Macaca fascicularis: one gene and its partner. The protein of the gene in region 2 purifies or fractionates together with the protein of the main gene of each other region. This does not show direct contact. Links are inferred from orthologs where the notes say so. Each region holds a gene or a part of one and is shown on either strand. Other genes may lie near its edges. The genes, in order: MAFK and BACH2.

The links.
Region 1: the proteins of BACH2 (region 2) and MAFK purify together in Homo sapiens (co-immunoprecipitation; 3 studies listed by BioGRID and IntAct, with this or other methods). This does not show direct contact. The link is inferred for Macaca fascicularis from reciprocal best matches to the Homo sapiens genes BACH2 and MAFK.

The regions. Positions count from the first base shown.
Region 1 is NC_088377.1:34,975,874-34,985,949, reverse strand, and holds the start of MAFK (transcription factor MafK), read right to left. Parts: upstream 5,154-10,076; 5' UTR 4,957-5,153; intron 1,870-4,956; exon of another isoform or gene 1,152-1,869; intron 1-1,151. UniProt on the Homo sapiens protein: Since they lack a putative transactivation domain, the small Mafs behave as transcriptional repressors when they dimerize among themselves.
Region 2 is NC_088378.1:85,422,809-85,432,289, reverse strand, and holds part of BACH2 (transcription regulator protein BACH2), read right to left. Parts: intron 6,447-9,481; coding exon 4,854-6,446; coding exon of another isoform or gene 4,695-4,853; exon of another isoform or gene 1-4,694. UniProt on the Homo sapiens protein: Transcriptional regulator that acts as a repressor or activator. Binds to Maf recognition elements (MARE). Plays an important role in coordinating transcription activation and repression by MAFK.

The DNA of each region.
Region 1 (10,076 bases), on a different chromosome or scaffold from region 2:
TAGAGACAAGGTCCCACTCTGTCACCCAGGCTGGAGTGCAGTGGTGCCATCCTGCCTCACTGCAGACCTCCTGAGCTCAAGAGGTCCTCCTGCCTCAGCTTCCCGAGCAGCTGGGACTACAGGTGGGCACCACCACACCCAGAGAATTTTAAACTTTTTTGTAGAGACGGGATCTCACCATGTTGCCCAGGCTGGTCTCGAGCTCCTGGACTCAAGTGATCCTCCTGCCTCAGTCTCCCAAAGTGCTGGGATTACAGGCAGGAGCCACCATGCCCAGCCATTTTTAACTCTTTAAGTCCCAGCTAATACTCACTGGTCACCCATGGGTCTGGCCCTGCTCAGTGGGGGACTGGCAGCCCTGGCATCTCTTGCTGTGCTGGCACAAGCTGAGAAGGACCTGCTCTGGGGTCCAGGAGGGAACAGTTTCTCCTTAAAGTTGGGACTGGGCACGGTGGCTCTTGCCTGTAATCTCAACACCTTCGGAGGCTGAATGCTTGAGCCCAGTAGCTTTAGACCAGCCTGGACAACAGAGCGAGGCCCCATCTCTAAAAAAAAAAAAAAAAAAAAAAACATAATTTTTTTTTTTTTTTTTTGAGACAGAGTCTCGCTCTGTTGCCCAGGCTGGAGTGCAGTGGTCGAATCTCAGCTCACTGCAAGCTCCGCCTCCCGGGTTTACGCCATTCTCCAGCCTCAGCCTCCTGAGTAGCTGGGACTACAGGCGCCCGCCACCTCGCCCGGCTAGTTTTTTGTATTTTTTTAGTAGAGACGGGGTTTCACTGTGTTAGCCAGGATGGTCTCGATCTCCTGAGAAAACCATAATTTTTAAATAGCCAGGTGTGATGGCACACGCCTATGGTCCCGACTACTCGGGAGGCTGAGGTGGGAGGATTGCTTGAGCCAGGAAGTCGAGATTGCAGTGAGCTGTGATCACACCACTGCACTCCAGCAGCCTGAGTGACAGAGCAAGACCCAGTCTCTTAAAAAAAAAAAAGAGAGTGCAAAAGTGAGTTGAACAGCTGATGGCTGGATGACCCCTCTAAACAGTCCTGGCTGTGGATGCCCATGGAGAAACGGGGATTTCAGCTTCAGGGCTCTGATTCTTCCCGGATGAGAGGACGCATCAGGGCCGCTGCTCGCTCTCCAAGGCCGGCATGGGGGCTCTGGATGGGTCACTTGTTCTCTCCCAAGGGGTGAATGACAAGGCAGACCCCACGCCCCACCCCCGCGGCCACCCAGCCGGTCTGACCGAGACAGAGCGGCCCTTCCACTTCTATCCTCCACGGGTCTCCGAGGCTGTGGGATGCGGGAGAGGGAGGAGGGGTGGGAGGAAGACCAGGAACGGAGGACGGGAGTTGTGTTCGAGACTCGGGTTTAGAAATCCAGGAGCACAGCAGTAAGCACCCTCCCGCTCTCCCTCACCAGTGACTCCCACGACAGGTGCAATCCACAAAACCAGAGGCCGCCCAGGGTGTACCTGCCTCTCCCAGGAGCCTTTCTGCCAGAGACCCCAAGCCAGGCACCCTCCACAGGGGGCCACAAGGGTAGGTGGGGCCACTGTGGCACTGGTACCCAGTGGGCACCTGTCAAACAGGTGTCAACCGACTAACTGCAGCCCGGCTGCTCCCAGAGACCAGCCAGACACCCTTCCTATTGAGGATGAGGACCCCCACTGTCCGGCTGTCCTGGACATGGGAAATGCGGGAGGCACCCCACTTGGCACCCCCCAGCCCGGCCCGCACCAGCCGGCAGCCTGGCCCTGGCTGGCTGCCCTCCAGCAAGCCACGACTGTCCGCCTGGCTTGGAGGACGTCTGGTCACCTTGCATTTGCAGTCTGAGGAAGCTGTGTCATTCCGCTACATCCAGAGGTGACTCAGGCAGCTGCAGCAGCAGAGAGCAAACTGCAGAACACACCACACCTCCTCCAGTCCCTGCCCTGGCTCCCACCACACCATCCTCCTGTCCTCAGCTTCCAGCTTCCCGTCAGCGTCCTGTTCTCCCCGGCCACCCTGGGGCTTCAATCCGCTCCCAGCTTCCAAGTCCAACCAGGGGCATTCCGGGGGGCCCAGATGCCCCCCAGCCCCCAACCGCATCACTCACCGGAGTTGCCCCCACCCCTGTCTCTTCTCCTCGTCCACGCTCCAACCGGGCTTGATCCCAGCCCTCAAGCATCTCCCGCCCGAACCCGCAGCACCTGCCCAGGCTCCGGCCTCCAGCTTCTCCAGTGTGGACCACAGCTTTGCCAAAGGGATGCCCTCACCCTGATCCTGGTGCCCCCCACGCAGCCCCACAGGCAGTCAAAAGTTTTGGGGTTCCTCCCAAACCCCGACCCCCTCACCCCAACACCGTTTCAGGTTTCTGATCACCCCCATCTGCAGAGAGCACGTGGCCCCCTGCCCCCCTCAAGCCCTGCTTCTTCCAGAAACGCTCCCCACTGCTCTCCTTGCGTAGGCAAGCACCCTCTACCAAGGCCTGGTTCTAGATCCTTCTGGGGACGGGGCCCTCCCCGTGGTGTGGTGAGCTCCTCGCAAGCAGGGAGCATGTCTTCCCTACACCCCATACGAGCCTCCCACTGTACGAGATGAGCCGGCCCCGCACGGGAGGGCAGCGAGAGGGCAGTCTCCACCCCAATACCTTCCCCAGGACGCCCGACGCGCAGTGCGGACAAGCAGGCAGGTTCTACACCAGACCCCACTGGCCCTTGGGACAGGCCAGCAGACGTCACGGCCTGGGTTTCCTCATCTACAGCGGGCGGTCGGGGTGGGGCGTGTGACCTCTCAGGTTCATTTGTACCTGCTCTAAAACTCTATGATTTTAAGACGACACTCCCAGTTTCCTGAAACTGTAGGAAAGCGGAAACATGACGGAGTCTGTGACTTATAAAAAGCAAAAATAAATAGCGGGGAAAGGTATCTTCCATTCGAGGAGAGCAGGGAGGGTGGGGACGGAGCGGTGAGTCACTGTTTACTGTTGAAAGGCAGCCACACGGAGCCTTCTCCCAGCTGGCCAGATTTCCATTTCCCGTGTGGACTGGACCCGAAACCCAGAAAGTCCACTCCAGAAACCTTTAGACTCAGAAACAGCTGGGACAGGAACAGGCACAACTTCTTCTCGGTCTGGGTGGCAAACAGCTTTGCTGGAGACTGTAAACAAACGCAGCCATCGCCGAGCCCCGTGGGTGAAAGCGCACGCCTTGTAGACAGCAGAGTGGCCCGGAAGACGGTCTCACTTAACAGTGGCCTCCCGGGTGCACACAAAGGCTGGCGCCCCGACAGCCCCAACCCTTGGTAAACGCTGGCTCCCGGGTTTACCAGCACCTGGGGAATCAATGCTGTAGGGAACCAGCCCCTCAAAGCCCTGGCTCAGCTCAAGGATAAAAGGCAGGAGAAACCTGGTTTGTTTTTCTGCTTTAGTAAATGTCTTATTTTGGAATAATGAAAGGTCTAGTTTTAAAAAGCAGACTCCCTCTCCCAAGGTCAAACTCAGACATTCCTACTGGGTTACCTAAGAAGGGGAGATGTTCTCTTAAACGGCACTGGACGCCCAAATAGGGTGTAGGTGTGTCCCAGACACCTGCACAGCCCACCTATGTTCTCCAGACCCCGCCCACAGCTCTTTCAATACTCCACATCCCTGAAGACACTGGGCTTGGAGAAGCTGCACAGGGCATCCCACTCCATGTTGGAGACCCCCTTACAACAACACACTGTGATAGTGAAACCTCAGTGCCAGTAGAGACCTGGCAGCCCACCCTGGAGAATCAGAGGGGTGGGAAGGGCAGTGCCGGAGCCGAACCACAGTGATATCCCCTAGTCCACGGTGTCCCGCAGTGGGGGGCGTTTTGAGTCCCAGGATCTTCCCAAGGCCAGGCACCTGGCCAGAGAGTGGCTGGCTGCCTGTGGGTCACCTGGTGAATGAATGGTGGATCTGATTTCTGCCTCAGCTATAAGAGCCGCCTAAGAAGCAAGAAACAGCATGCTCAGGGATGCAGGACACGGGGAGAGGGACACAGGAGGCCCCGCAAACATGAACACACACGGTGTGAGGGTGAGAATGCAGCACAGGGCCACTGCTGTACCCCAGGGGGACCCAGGTCAAGGGCCAAGGCCAGGCGGGGTCCTGGCTTTCTGGGTTTTTCCGCGGCGCCTCGACCCACCCCCCCAGGATCTTGAGGCTGTGCAAACAGAGACACACACACACACACACAGCGTCACGGGCACATAACACAGTTTCCTGAACTTGACAAGAGGCACAGAAGAACCCACGCAGTGGGAGCGGGAAGAGGCCTGAGCCCCTGCCCCACATGTGAGCAAAGGGACACACGCCTTGGGGCCCCTGTCACCTGCTCCCCTCCGGCCTCCCCACGGCCTTCCTTCCAGCAACCCTGGCAGGTGGGCGGCTGAAAGCAACACCAGTCCCAGGATCCTGCCTGTGGGGAGACTCGGTTACCCCCACCCCGTCCACGGGCACGCGTGGGCCGCAGCGCCGCCCGTCACCGGGAGGAAGCGAGGGGGGCAGGCCGGGGCCGCACGCGGAAGCCACGCTGGGGCGGAAGGCACGGGGAATCCACGCGCCCGCGCCCTCCCCGCCCCGCCCCCCGCAGGTGTGAAGGCGCGGGCACAATGAGCGCCGCCGACCCGCGTGGACTCCCGTGTTCCCAGGTCTGGGGTCCACGCCCCAGGGCCCCGGGCTTAGCAAGCATGGCCCGGGCGGCACGTGCAGGGCAGAGAGCTTCGCGTCCCGGGGAAGCCCCCTGGGCCTGCGGGGCTGGGCCCAACGGGGCAGGTGCGCGGGCCGCGTAGGGGGCCGCATGGGGGTCTCGGGCCCTGCGCACCCAACCCCGCCACCCTCGGCCCGCGCCCCCGGGCGGCCGTGACTCAGCGGCCAGGTGGCCCCAGCCCCGCGTCCCGGTCTCCGTCCCCGCCGCGGCCCGGTCCCCGCTGCTCCACCGCCCCTCACCTGGCGTCGCGCGGAGGGCGCGGGCGCGCGGCGGCTCCTCGCGGGCACGCGCTGTCCTCGCGCCGGCGCTCACTCTCGCGCTCCCCTCGGCCGCCGCCGCCTGGCGCTCGGGCTCCGACTTCACGAAGAACAACAACTCCCCCCCGCCGCCCGCCGCCCGCCGCCACCGCGCCCGCCCGCCCGGCTCCCCAGCATCTGACACCGCTTCCGGGATCCGCGGCGCGCGCGTCACGCCGCCCCGCCCCCCCTGGGGCCACGCCCCCTCCCTCCCCCGCGGGCACGCCTTCCTCTCCCGCCCGGGGGTCCGCGGGCCCCGCCCGCACCTGCAATCCCCGCGCTTTGGGAGGCCCGGCGGGAGGATCTCTGTGGGCCAGCAGTTCAAGACCAGTCTGGGCAATATAGCGAAACCTCCCTTCCCCCATTCCCCGTCTCTACAAACATAAAAAACATTAAGGCCAGCTGGGCACAGTGGCTCATGCCTGTAATCCCAGCACGCTGGGAGGTCAAAGCAGGAGGATCGCTTGAGCCCAGGAGTTCCAGACCAGCGTGGACAACATAGTGAGACCCCCATCTCTACAAAAAATTACAAAAAGTAGTCGGTCGTGGTGGTATGTGCCTGTAGTCCCAGTTACTCAGGAGGCTGAGGCAGGAGGATGGCTTGAACCTGGAAGGTGGAGGCTGCAGTGAGCCATGATTTCATCACTGCACTCTAGCCTGGGTGACAAGGTGAAACCCTGTCTCAAAAAACAAAACAAAACAAGCAAACCAGCAATGTAAAAATGGGGATAAGCGGCTACTGGTCACAGCTTCTGTGAGTGGGGCCAGCCCCCTTCTAAAGCCCCAGCTGCTGGTTGCCAGGGGGCCACAGCAGGCCCAGGATGGGGTTAGGGCACCACCGGCCCAAGGAGTCCTGTGAGGGATCCTCAGGTGGGAGCCGGTCCCTGAGGGAGCTGCCTCTGCTTCTTGTCGCAGGTGGAGGACAGGCTGGAGTGGGGACCCGTCCAGAGTCCCTCAGAGGGGAGGGTGAGCCCCTTACCAAGCTTCTGGGTCCCCAAGTCCCGCCCTCCTCTGAGCGCTGCAGGAAAAGGAGTCTCAGGCCTGGCCAACCAGGGCACCCACGGCATCTGCCCAGGGTTCTGGGAAGCCTGTTTTCTCGGCTCAGGTGGGACTCGGGAGCCTGTTTCTCGGCTCAGGTGGGACTCAGGAGCAAGGACAGGGAGGTCTGTGCATCTTCTGGGTGTCATCCTTACCACCGCGTGCCTGGGGATTTAGGCAGCCGCCCAGTGGCCTCTTGCTGTGGAGCGAGGGGGCAGCCTCCCGGACCATCTCTGACCCCCACTTCTGACCACCTGGGAGGCGCCTCCTTGCTGAGGCCCACGCTGCCGTCTGGGGTAGCCAGACACAGTGATGCCTGCAACCTGGCTGCAGAAACAGGAGCCAAGAAATAGCAGCAGTAGCGACAATGTCCCACGTCCCCAGGATGTTTGCAGAAAGACATCCCCGGGGGATGGGAAAGCTGCTTCCCTTGTCCCAGCCCACACTTTGCACTTGGGGTTCTGGGATGCGCTGGGAGCCTCCAGAGAAGCTGTGAGCGTCTCCTCTTTACGTTACTCATGGTGTCGCTGCTCTAACCCAACTGCATTCTTTCCATAGTAGGCTTTTGTTACTAATTGCACAGTTATATTATCTTTTTAATTTTTTAATTTGTATTTATTTATTTTTTTATTTTGACACAGAGTCTCACTCTGTCGCCCAGGCTGGAGTGCAGTGGTGCCATCTCAGCTCACTGCAAGCTCCACCTCCTGGGTTCACGCCATTCTTCTGCCTCAGCCTCCCCAGTAGCTGGGACTACAGGTGCCCACTGCCACGCCCGGCTAATTTTTTTGTATTTTTTAAAATAGAGACGGGGTTTTGCCGTGTTAGCCAGGATGGTCTCGATCTCCTGACCTCGTGATCTGCCCGCCTCGGCCTCCCAAAGTGCTGGGATTACAGGCGTGAGCCACTGCGCCCGGCCGTATTTACTTTTGAGAAGGAGTCTCACTCTGTCATCCAGCCTGGAGTGCGGTGGCACCATCTCGGCTCACTCCAGCCTCTCCCTCCCGGGTTCAGTGGTTCTCCTGCCTCAGCCCCCCGAGTAGCTGGGATCACAGGTGCCCACCACCACATATGGTTAGTTTTTTGTTGTTGTTGTCGTTGTTGTTTTGAGATGGAATCTCACTCTGTTGCCAGGCTGGAGTGCAGTGGCGCAATCTTGGCTCACTGCAAGCTCCGCCTCCCAGGTTCAAACAATTCTCCTGCCTCAGCCTCCTGAGTAGCTGGGACTACAGGTGCCTGCCGTCATGCCCGGCTATTTTTTTTTTTAATTGTATTTTTAGTAGAGATGATGTTTCACTGTGTTAGCGAGGATGGTCTCGATCTCCTGACCTCATGATCCGGCTTTCTCGGCCTCCCAAAGTGCTGGGATTACAGGCACGAGCCACCACACACAGCCAATGTTTATATTTTTAATAGAGACGGGGTTTTGCCATGTTGACTGGGCTGGTCTCGAACTGCTGGCCTCAAATGATCCACCTGCCTCAGCCTCCCAAAGTGCTGGGATTACAGGCATGAGCCACCACACTGGCTAATTTTTGTATTTTTAGTAGAAACGGTTTCACCATTTTGGCCAGGCTGGTCTCGAACCCCCGACCTCAGGTGATCCGCCCACCTCGGCCTCCCAAAGTGCTGGGATTACAGGCGTGAGCCACCACGCCCAGCCTAATTTTTAAAATTTTGATTTATTTATTTATTTGTTTGTTTTATAAGATAGCATCTCACTCTGTCACCCAGACTGGAGTTCACTGGTGCAATCACAGTTCACTGCAGCCTCCACCTCCCAGGCTCAAGTGATCCTCCTACCTCAGCCTCCTGAGTAGCTGGGACTAAGGCTGGTGCTACCACACCCAGCTAATTTTCCTTGTTTTTTTTGTAGAGACAGGGTATTGCTCTGTTGCCTAGGCTGGTCTTGAACTCCTAGGCTCAAGTGATCCTCCCACCTCATCCTCTCAAAGTGTTGGGATTACACGCATGAGCCACTGTGCCCAGCCCAAAGTTTACTTTTTATTGTGGTAAAGTATACATCATGTAGAATTTACCATTTTAACTATTTTTTTCTAACTTAAAAAAAATCTTCTTTCAGAGATAGGGTCTTGCTGTGTTGATCAGGCTGGTCTTAAACTCCTGGCCTCAAGCAATCCTCCTTGCCAGGCGCGGTGGCTCAAGCCTGTAATCCCAGCACTTTGGGAGGCCGAGACGGGTGGATCATGAGGTCAGGAGATCAAGACCATCCTGGCTAACACGGTGAAACCCTGTCTCTACTAAAAAATACAAAAAAAAAAAAAAAAAACTAGCCAGGCGAGGTGGCAGGCGCCTGTACTCCCAGCTACTCAGGAGGCTGAGGCAGGAGAATGGCGTGAACCCGGGAGGTGGAGCTTGCAGTGAGCCGAGATCGTGAAATTGTGGTATATTTGGCCGGGCGCGGTGGCTCAAGCCTGTAATCCCAGCACTTTGGGAGGCCGAGATGGGCGGATCACGAGGTCAGGAGATCGAGACCATCCTGGCTAACACGGTGAAACCCCGTCTCTACTAAGAAATACAAAAAATAGCCGGGCGAGGTGGCAGCGCCTGTAGTCCCAGCTACTCGGGAGGCTGAGGCCGGAGAATGGCGTGAACCCGGGAGGCGGAGCTTGCAGTGAGCTGAGATCCGGCCACTGCACTCCAGCCTGGGCTACAGAGCGAGACTCCGTCTCAAAAAAAAAAAAAAAAAAAAAAAAAGCAATCCTCCTGCCTCAGCCTCCCAAAGTGCTAGGATCCCAGGTGTGATTCGGTGATTAGTCTGGGCACGGTGGCCACCACACGAGGCCAATTTAACCATTTTAAGTGTACAGTTCAGTGGTGTTAAGTATATTCACGTTGTTGTACAAACATTGCCACCATCCATCTCCAGAAATTGTTCATCATTTAGTAGTTCCTTTTGTAAAAAAATGTTAAGTTCTGGCCGGGCAAGGTGGCACATGCCTGTAATCCCAGCCCTTTGGGAGGCCGAGGCGGGCGGATCACCCGAGGTCAGGAGTTCGAGACCAGCCTGACCAACATGGAGAAACCCCGTCTCTACTAAAATTACAAAATTAGCCGGGTGTGGTGGTGCACAACTGTAGTCCCAGCTACTCGGGAGGCTGAGGCAGGAGAATCACTTGAACCCAGGAGGTGAGGGTTGCAGTGAGCTGAGATTGCACCATTGTACTCCAGCCTGGGCAACAAGAGGGAAACTCCATCTCAGAAAAAAAAACACAAAACAAAACAAAAAAAGTGTGTGTGTGTGTGTGTGTGTGTGTGTGTGTGTGTGTTTTGAAACAGGATCTCATTCTGCCACCCAAGCTGGCGTGCAGTGGCACGATCCTGGCTCACTGCAGCCCGGACCTCCTGGGCTCAAGCGATCCTCCTGCCTCAGCCTCCCAAGTAGCTGGGACTACAGGCATGCACCATCATGCCCAGCTAATTTTTATATTTGTTTTGTTTTGTTTTGTTTTGTTTTGAGACAGAGTCTCGCTCTGTTGCCCAGGCTGGAGTGCAGTGGTGTGATCTCGGCTCACGGCAAGCTCCACCTCCCAGGTTCACGCCATTCTCCTGCCTCAAGCTCCCGAGTAGCTGCAACTACAGGCGCCCGCCACCATGCCTGGCTAATTTTTTTGTATTTTTAGTAGAGACAAGGTTTCACTGTGTTAGCCAGGATGGTCTGGATCTCCTGACCTCATGATCCGCCCGCCTCGGCCTCCCAGAGAGCTGGGATTACAGGTGTGAGCCACTGTGCCTGGCCTTGAAGAAAACTTGTGTAACTTTCTTCATAACTTTAGAGTGGGAAAAGGTTTCTCTAATCATGATTAAACATCTAAATACCATAAAGCAGATTCGAGGCAAAAATCCTCGCAAGTCAAGTCACAACACAAAGTGCACGCTAGGAAAAATACCTGCGACTCAGATCTACCAGGCAAAGGGATCCTAAACGTGTGTGCAAGAGCACAACCAAAAACAGAAGGCAAAGGACGTGAATAGATCATCCACAGAAAAAGAAATCCACAGAA
Region 2 (9,481 bases):
AATGGTATAGCCACCTTGGAAACAGTCTAGTAGCTCCTCAGAAGGTTAAATACAAAGTTATATGATTCAGCAGTTCCACTCCTAGGAATATTATGAAAATAACTGAAAACAAGTCTTAAAAAACTTGTCTCAAATGCTCACAGCAGCATTATTTATAATAGCCCCAAAGTGGAAACAACCCAAATGGCCCTCAACCAATGAACAACAAAATGTGGTATTGGTCAACAAAATGGATCAACATAATGGAATATTACTCAGCAATTAACAGGAACAAAGGACTAATACATGACAATATCTCTGGTGAGTACATCAATGGCAAAGGTAAACCTTCAAAGTATTATGCTAAAGTGAAAGAAGCTAGACACAGAAGGCTACATCTTGCAAGATTCTATTTATACAAATGCCCCAAACAGGTACATCCACAGAGACAGAAGGTAGATTACTGGTTGCCTGGGGTTGAGGGGAGTGGGCAATGAGGAATAACCACTAATGGGTACGGCATTTCCTTTTAGGGTGGTGAGAATGTTTTGGAATTATCACAGTGGTGATGGTTGTACAACACTGTGAATATATCAACAACCACTGAATTGTTCATCTTAGGGTGAATTTTATGGTATGCGAATTATGTCTTAATTTAAAAGATAAACCTACATAAAATTCAAACATTACATACATACATAGAAATGAAACTTTCCCTACACTCCTCTTCAATGGTGCTCCCGGTTTTTTCTTATTCTCTATACTGATTTCATTTATAGGGTGTGCATATTCAGAAAACAAACTAGGACCTTGTGCATACTGTTTTGTGATTTTCACTTAATGTGACTTGTTCATTTTTTTTTTTTATTGGAAGAGAAAAATTCCCAACCTGACTTCTTAAGGAATATAGCAAATCCAGAAGTCATAAAAAAAGACTTATACCTTGACTACATGAAACTAAAAAAACTTTTATATGGGAAAAGGTACAATAAATAAAGAAGCAGACTAAGGGAATATCCAAGCGACATTTATGAGAAAGGGTTAATATTCCTAATATTGGGGAGTAAGATTCCTACATGTTGATTTAAACAATGCAAAAGAAAATATGGGCAAAGAGGTGAACCAATAATTCACAGGAAATGAAATATCAATGTTCAATACACACAAAACAACATGTCAGCTTCATTAGTAGTCACCATTTTTTGCCTATCAAATTGGCAAAAATTAAAAAGACTGGTGACAACTAGTATGGGCAAGAATAGGGGAAACTGGACATTCTAAGTTGTTGGATGAAATGTGAATTGCTACGACGTTTTGGGTAGGTCATTAGGTAGTGTTTAAAAAATGAGCACAACATTTAGCTCATCTATGAAACTAACCCACAAAAATAAAAGCACCACTACTAACAGTATGCTCACAAAATGTTTATTGCAGCCATGTTTATCAGAGGGAAAAACTGAAAACACCTGAAATGTCCACTGATAAGTGACAGATGAATGAACTACGATTTACAAGAACCAGAGATACTAGAGAAACATGTCTTGGCCCTATGTGATTGACCTACAGCCATGTGGATGGTAGACAGCTATGTGAAAAAAGGAAGCTGCTAACTCTACAATATAATGCCATTAAAATAAAACCCAAACCCATAGAGAGGTGAATATATATTTGTATATTATTGCAGGCAAAGAGAGAGCCTGTGAAATTTGATGTGTTTGGGGCTGGGTACGCTGTGTTCTAGAATTTAAAAAAGAGTGTCATTTTAAGAAGCTGATTATTGATAAAGGATAATACTGTGCTAATTTGATCTTTCTCGAAGCTAGGGAACAGTTAAGAAGGAAATGATTGTGAGATGGAAGGGCTGCTTAACATGGTATAACTACAACATCTCACATAATATAAGGTATGTGAACACTTTTCTTTTGATCTAACATTTTGGCTCCCTACAGGGGTGGAAGAAGAGAGATTGGGAAAATGCACGTGAAGTATTAGACTGGTGTCTGGCAAGGGGTAGAAACTCCTGTCTTCACTTCTGACTCTGGTGTCTCCTTGGGGTTCACTTGAAAGAGAAGGCACCTGGATCTCATAGGAGAGCAGGGCAGAATCAGCCCAGCAGATGCTGGCTTCTTCTGATCAGTTCAGGAAAACAAGTTTTGACTTGTGGAGAAGGATCTGCCTTGAGCACTATTACTGGGGATAATACTTCAACCAGGGTCAAAGTAACTCCCTAAAGCAGGTTATCAACTCCTTGAGCAGCAGTCATGGCAAGTCCCTGAGACAGTTCTTGGAAAGCTAACCTCCTCTACTCTAGGAAAATTAAGACGTAAAATTGGAGAAAACCTTGGCTTTACTATAACTGTCCTGTCCGAACTGTACCACTGAGAGGGACTATGATTTCCAAAATGGCATACAGCTTTGGTAAATGTCTCTTCTTTCACTGTTCAGGAATGCAGAAGATGGATTCTTTTTTTAAAGGTAAAAATAGGAATATTTTTAAAAGTAGGGGTATTTCTCAAGGGGGGAAGGCTAGTCCTGTTCGTGACTGTTTTACAGGTTGAATGAGTCCTCCTTTTAATTGAGTTACTATTTTTAATTCTAAGGTAAACAACTGACACGGCTCCAACACAGAAAAAATACATGTGTTCTTGCTGTGGTCTCGAGTTCCAAGAAATGACTCTATGCTCTCTTTTGGGATATTGGTGGCGGGGCGAGGGGGTGGGGAGCGCAAAAGAAGATGTCTCTGAAACTGACAGTTCTTCGAACAAATGCAAATGTCATAAAAACACAAGCTTCCCTTGAGCTTAATGGCCAGTTTTTTTTTTTTTTTTTTGGAGACAAGGTCTCACTCTGTCACCCAGGCTGGAGTGCAGTGGCAATCTCAGCTCACTGCAACCTTCTCCTGGGCTCAAGAGATCCTCCCACCTCAGCCCCACAAGTAGCTGGGACTACTGGCATGAGCCACGACACCCGGCTTTTTTTTTTTATACTTTTGGTAGAGATGTGGTTTCACCATGTTGCCTAGGCTGGTCTTGAACTCCTGAACTCAAGTGATCCACCCACCTCAGCCTCCCAAAATGCTAGGATCACAGGCCTGAGCCACCACGCCTGGCCCCAGGCTCCTCTTAAAGGAGAGACAAAAAACAGACTGCAGGCCTTTGTCCTCTTCTCCCTCCAGCAGTCCTTGGTAGGAAGCCATGATGCAGATGAGCTGGACGCAGTGGCTAGCCTTCCACACCAGGCATGCTCATTCACGGTTTCAGAACAAAAGGAAAACCTCACTAAAGAGGTCAGAGGGAAAGAATGAGTAAGGAGAGAGAAAACATAAGCCTTCACTATTTTCAGGAAAGCTCAATCTTCCCAATGTTAGGGACACAGATGTGAGCCTGGCTTGGGGCACGAGGCACAACCCGCCACCCCAAACCTAAGGAGAGACGGTATATTCGCATGGGAATAGCTCCCATTCAAATTTCCTTTCTAATTTATTTTAAACTAAATCCTTTCAGTGTTTCTCTTTCTCCATGTCTGCTAGGCAGTGAAGAGAGGGGAAGAAACCAGGCTAGCGAGCAAAGAAGGAAGTGACCACAGGGCATTTTTGGCAGTTGGCATAGGGCCTTTGGCATCTACTTTCAAAACATGCCCAAACTAAAAACCTCATGTGCTTCTCGCCAATCTTGCAGAGGCTGAATAAACTGCACGTGGCTCTGTGAAAAGCCACCTCATCCCATGTGGCATTTCTGCTGTCTGGTTGGGTTAACATCTCTGCCTTACAGAGGCTGGTAACATCCAGAGAGCAGACGGGTACCAAGGTTACTGGCCTCAGGAGGACCACTTTTCATTTCTTCCTGTGTTTTTGGGATACACAGCTCTGAGAAGGGACTTGTCACTGGGTTTGTTCATTACCGTTCCTGAGGGGCGTCTGAGACACAGGTAGCAGTCTCAAGCTGGTACCTTGTCAATCAGCAAGACAGTGCCATGAACGCCAGTCACGACACAGACTCTCTCAGGTCTTCCTAGGGAATGTTCATGTTATTGGGAGGTGGGTCCTCTGGGGGAGGCCTCTTCTTTCCTCTCCTTAGTCTTGTGAGTCTTGCTCATGATGTGGCTGCTGTTGCCCCTGTTCCCCTCTCCCAGCAATGGTAAGACACACATGGGGCCTCTGGACATTCTTCCTAGCAAGTACATTGCTTTCAGGGTGGATGAAACTGCTACTGTACCCCACTACTTCTCAAAATGTCTTCCTAGCGTTTGAGGGAGCTTGGGAAATGATCCATTATACATTATGTGTGGCCGACTAGGGTGCTTCTGTGATGACCCCAGGACTGGGATAAACAGTGAGCCTTCCATCACCTTCACTGTGATGGACATGGGATGGCCCTGGGGTCTTCTGTTGACAAGGAAAATCTAAAAGGTGCTGGGAAAGTGTTGATCTATTTGGTTTCAATCAATCAATCTGGAAAGAGATGCTATATCTTCCTTTGTGCTGAAGGGGTGAAGGGCAAGGATGAGGGTGATGAACATGGCATCCTTCCAAAGCAGATGTAGGAGGGGGAAGAGAAGGAGGAGAAAGAGGGGGGTGTGCAGTGCCTCAGTGCACTTCATGCATTAGACTTCAGTATTTTTTTACTCAGCAGCTTGCCTCTGCTTGTTGAGTATTGAGATCCAGATCAAATATTAAGTGCTTTTCTAGGACGGAAGTGGTTAATGTGGAATCACCTTCAGCACCCTGCCTCTGTGGATGGGGAAGGCAGTCTCTCTACTGCCATCTTTAATCTCAGCATGTAAGAACAATCTGGGAGTGGTGGGGGGGCAGGGAATAGTCCAGATAAAGGGCCTAGAGAGTGGGTTACATGCTTGAATTTATGTGGGTTCCCTACCTCCTGGCCCCTGTCCTGCACAGGACACGACTCACTGTCTGCTTCCGAGAACGATCCGGATTCGTCACTGGAGTTGGTTCCGTAAGACTGCTCACATTTAATCTGGGGCCGCACTTGGTTGTACATTCCGTCTCCCATCAGGCCTGGTTCCTGATGTTCTGTGGCAAGGAATCTGGCTCCCTGCGAACAGGGCGAGGAGGAGAACTCACAGAGAGGGAGGCTGCAGGGCGAGCCCCCGCTCCCGTCCTCCGCATAGGAATAGGAGGAGCAGGAGCTGGAAGTCCTGGTCCTGGTCTCCAAGGGGGGTGAGCGAGGGCAGACTTTGATTGGCACCGGGCAGCTGGTGTTGGGCCGCATCCTTCCTGGCAAGTGGTCGGCCATCAGCCCACCGTGGGAGTAGGCCTGTGAGCTGGGGAGGGACTGGCCAGCTCCCACCCACAGACCCTTTGGCACCGGCTCAGAGAGGTCTTTGTCCAAACTGCTCACCCCAGAATAAGAATGCACCGAGGTGCTCACTTGGTCACAAGCGCTGGAGGAGAAGATCACGCTCCTCCGGTCCAGCTCTCCCTCCTGTTTACAGAGAGCCTCCAACCCAGGCCCCCTGAGGGGCGACCCCATGGTGAAGTTGGACACCTCCTTCTGGCCCACATGGGGCTGTCCATAATTCCCTGTGAAAGGGGTGTAGTCAGTTTTAAGGTCACCCTGAGTGATCCCCTTGTCAAAAGGGCACGCTGGACTCCTGGCAAAGTGCTGCTGAGATGTACTGGGCAGGCCAGACAGCTCCACACTTTTCGTTATGCTGAACAGAGACCTTAAGCAGGAGGGCGAGGCCACGCTCCTGGATCTCTCCAGGCAGGTGGCCCCAGCTGGGGCCGTGGGGGTAGGGGCAGGGCTGGGCTGTTTCCGGTCCATCTCGACATCCCCCGCTCTGTCCTTGGCGTCAGGCTCATCTCCAGACAGGCAGAGTGTGATGCTCTCTTCCTCATTCTCTTCACTGGGCGGCTCACTTTTAATCTGCCCCCTGGCAAGCCCTGGCTTGAGGCTGTTGCTAGAGTTTTCTTCCCGGAATGTGCTTGCAAAACCTGAGGTACTGTGTGATGATGCATTATAGACATTCTTGGTACATGCAAGCTGGTATTTCTTGTATCTGGGGTACTGCGTTAACGCGTCCTTTTCTGAGCTCTCCTTGGTGTCCGTGGGCACGTCGGGCTCGGGCAGCAGGGCTTCTTCCTTCTCTGCTACAGGGATGGCGGCGGCCTCAAAGCTGATGGGCTCTGGAAGCATCTGGTCCCTGGGGCAAGCCATCTTGGCCGTCTCTGAATCCATCGTCTCCTCCTCTTCATCCTCCTCCTCTCCTGCAGAGTTCTCACAGTCCTCGTGCGGGCGCTGGCATGCAGCATCCTTCCGGCACACAAACAGGCCATCCTCACTGTTCAGGAGCTGGGTCTGCAGGAAACTGAAGCAGGAGTCCTCCAGGTTGTGCATGCGCAGGAACTCAGCACAGCGGATGACCTCGCGGATGTTTTCTCTGCTGAGTAACAGCTTGGCAGTGTAGGCAAACTGTAACAGCGGCCCAAAGCCCCTGGCCGTGACCTGCAAAACAAACAGGAAAATCGCCAACATTACCATCAGCACCGCTATTGTCCCGAATCCCTCAACTGAAGCAAGATAACCAGACAGTGCTAATGTCCCAGAATAAAGACTGCAAAGGGGCAGTTAATCTTGTAGTACTGGGTCAGCGATGATTCTGCTTCCAATAATTAGTGCCTGTCTCGTGCATGCCACTGCTGTACTCCATCACGGCACAGGCAGAATTGAAAATCACCAGGGTCAAGTGGCTAAACAAGATGACAACGGGTTCAGTGTTTACACTAATGAAATATCCTGGCAAAAATGCATGGTGACAATGGGGAGCCTATTAATTTCCCTCCCAATCGGTCCTGTTGAGAGCCATTCTACACGAGGGGGGAGTGTTGTGACAGTTCTTGCAGCTTAGCTTGCTGGAGCCCAAGAGAGCCTTAACGTTTTCTTGTCAACCACAAAAATGACAAGGTGGCCCTGCAAAAAACTAAGTCCAGGGAGTTGCAAAAATAGGTTTTCCTCACTTACAATGTTAAAAGAGACATTAAAACAACTCTGTTTTGCTCATCCATCACAGTTTCTACTTGAGACTTTCGGTCATGATGTCCTACCTGATCTTATAATGATGATGATCTCATTATCTCACCAGAGATGACAACAATCAAAAGCGGTGTGCTCAAGACGAAATCAACCCCTGGCCCATAATGAACAGGGGTTGCAGAGCTAAACAAACCGGCTGTCATTTAAATGGTTGAACCTGCTGAGTGGCACAGGGTATGGGCTATTCCTTCCCTAATTATTGGCAGCAGCTTTGCCATGCAGCTGTCTTTTTTTCCTGGTAAATCTTCAGGGGCTAAGCCTACTGTCATTTGCTGCTTATCCATTATATTTTACATAGATTGAAAGTGTGCTATTTATGCACAGCTTGCATATGCACACAAACACATGTGCGCGCGCACGCATGCCTGCTCACACACAATGACTTAGACAATTAAGAATATGTTGCCTGAGGCCAATTGTTTTTTCAGATGGAAATGGATTAAACTTGCTGCTGTTCATCAGGGTAGGCTTCCTTACCCTGCACATAAAACCACACATCCTCTAGGTTCTTGCAAGCACCGCTGACCCCACAGGAAGGTGAGGCATGTCTACAAATCCTGTACAAATCAAATGAAAGCAGCAATCATGGGGTCCTTGCTAGAAGCTATGGTAGCAGTGATACAAAATTTTAGCTGGGGGAGTGAGTGCACTGCAAGGTGAACTGGTAAGCTTTGTAGCTGACTTCTGCATGTATTAAACTCACTGTAGCATACAGAGCCCAAATTCTTGCAAGTACCTGTAATTGATGTTCAAGATTCAACCTGGACATTCACTCCTTTGGGAGTGCTCTCCAGTCCTCTTAGAGAGAATGAATGACATTGTTCTCTCAGCTCTCATAGCCAGGTGAGGAAATGTGCTGGATTCTCCAGGGCAGCAATGACTTCATATCACTGCATTCTTTCCAGTAAGGGAAATTTCTTAGACATGTAACTGAACGGGATTTTAATTGTTAATCTTTTTAAAGTACTTAAGTAAGATTCCATCTTAAATTTTTTTTTTTCCTGTCAGATGACAAGTCCAGAGATATTCGGTTAAAAAAACAAAACAAAAAGCCATGACTGCTAGACCCACATTATAAATTCTATGTGGGCAATCACTGCCATCTCCCTTTTATTATACCTAATTGTGTCTGTTTCTACCATAAGAGAGCAAGCTCCTTCAGATCAGGAATGGTTTTGTCTGTCTTTGTAACCTTGCGTCTAATCTAACCTGGGGTCTCTAACATGGTAAATACTTGTTAAAAGCTTGTATGTTACCGAATATGTCGTAAGTTGAACTGTGTGCTAACATACTACTACTGTGTACACAAGGTAACAACACAGTGTGTTTAGAGGGTGCTGTCTCAAGTTACTTTTGGAACAAGGCATCATGTAAATCAACTAACCAAACTGATCAACTGATCAAAGGCAGGCAGGCAACTGTCTTTGTTTGCCCCGTGTCACAGTACCAGTATTAAAAAGGAGCTCATCTGACTGACATTTTGTATCCTGCTAAGGTGACATGGTAATAGGTTCAGCAAATGTAGTACTGACAATACATCTGTTTTATGTCCTTCCAGGAATCTTTAAAAGAAAGTAAAAAAGCAAGGAAATGTGTATTTATAGGTAACTGAAGAAGGTGACAAGAATGTCACATGACCTATTCCTTTACTGCCACATGGCTCCACCACAAAGAAAGAAATGGTAAAATCAATGCAGAGTTGACCCCTGCCCTCATAATGATTCTGTGCTCCTCTGTAATGTGCCAGTTGCCGAACGGGTGGTTAAGACACTTCTTGAGTTTTGGCAAAGGTGCTCACTATATGGGAAATGTAGGAAATTACTTTCAATGATATTTACACTGTTCACACAGTTTTTCTCATACTCCCATCTTTATCACCATTTTTTTTTTGATGCTGTAGGTCTACGTAAGCCTTACCACTATCCTCCACTGTAGCCTCTTGTAAAGAAAATTTCTAAAGAAGCAAGGGACATCCATGGGGATCTGTAGATCAGGAAGCAGTACTGGGAGTCACCCTCTGCCACACAGCTGGCTGCAAGGAGCTGGAGAAAGCATCTCCGCTTAGAGAAGAGCTGATGCTTAAATGTATGAATTGGACTAAGGATGCAAATGTGCAAAGTCTCCACATCACAAATCAATGGCACTCCTTAGATCACTGAGGCTTAGGAGACATGCTGAGCTTGAAATGATCGTCATATCATCATGAAAGAGTCACAGATAAAAAACCTTTTTTTTTGAGATAGAGTCTCACTCTGTCACCCAGGCTGGTGTGCAGTGGTGTGATCTCGGTTCACTGCAAGCTCCGCCTCCCGGGTTCACGCCATTCTCCTGCCTCAGCCTCCCTAGTAGCTGGGACTACAGGCGCCCGCCACCACACCTGACTAATTTTTTTGTATTTTTAGTAGAAACGGGGTTTCACCATGTTAGCCAGGATGGTCTCAATCTCC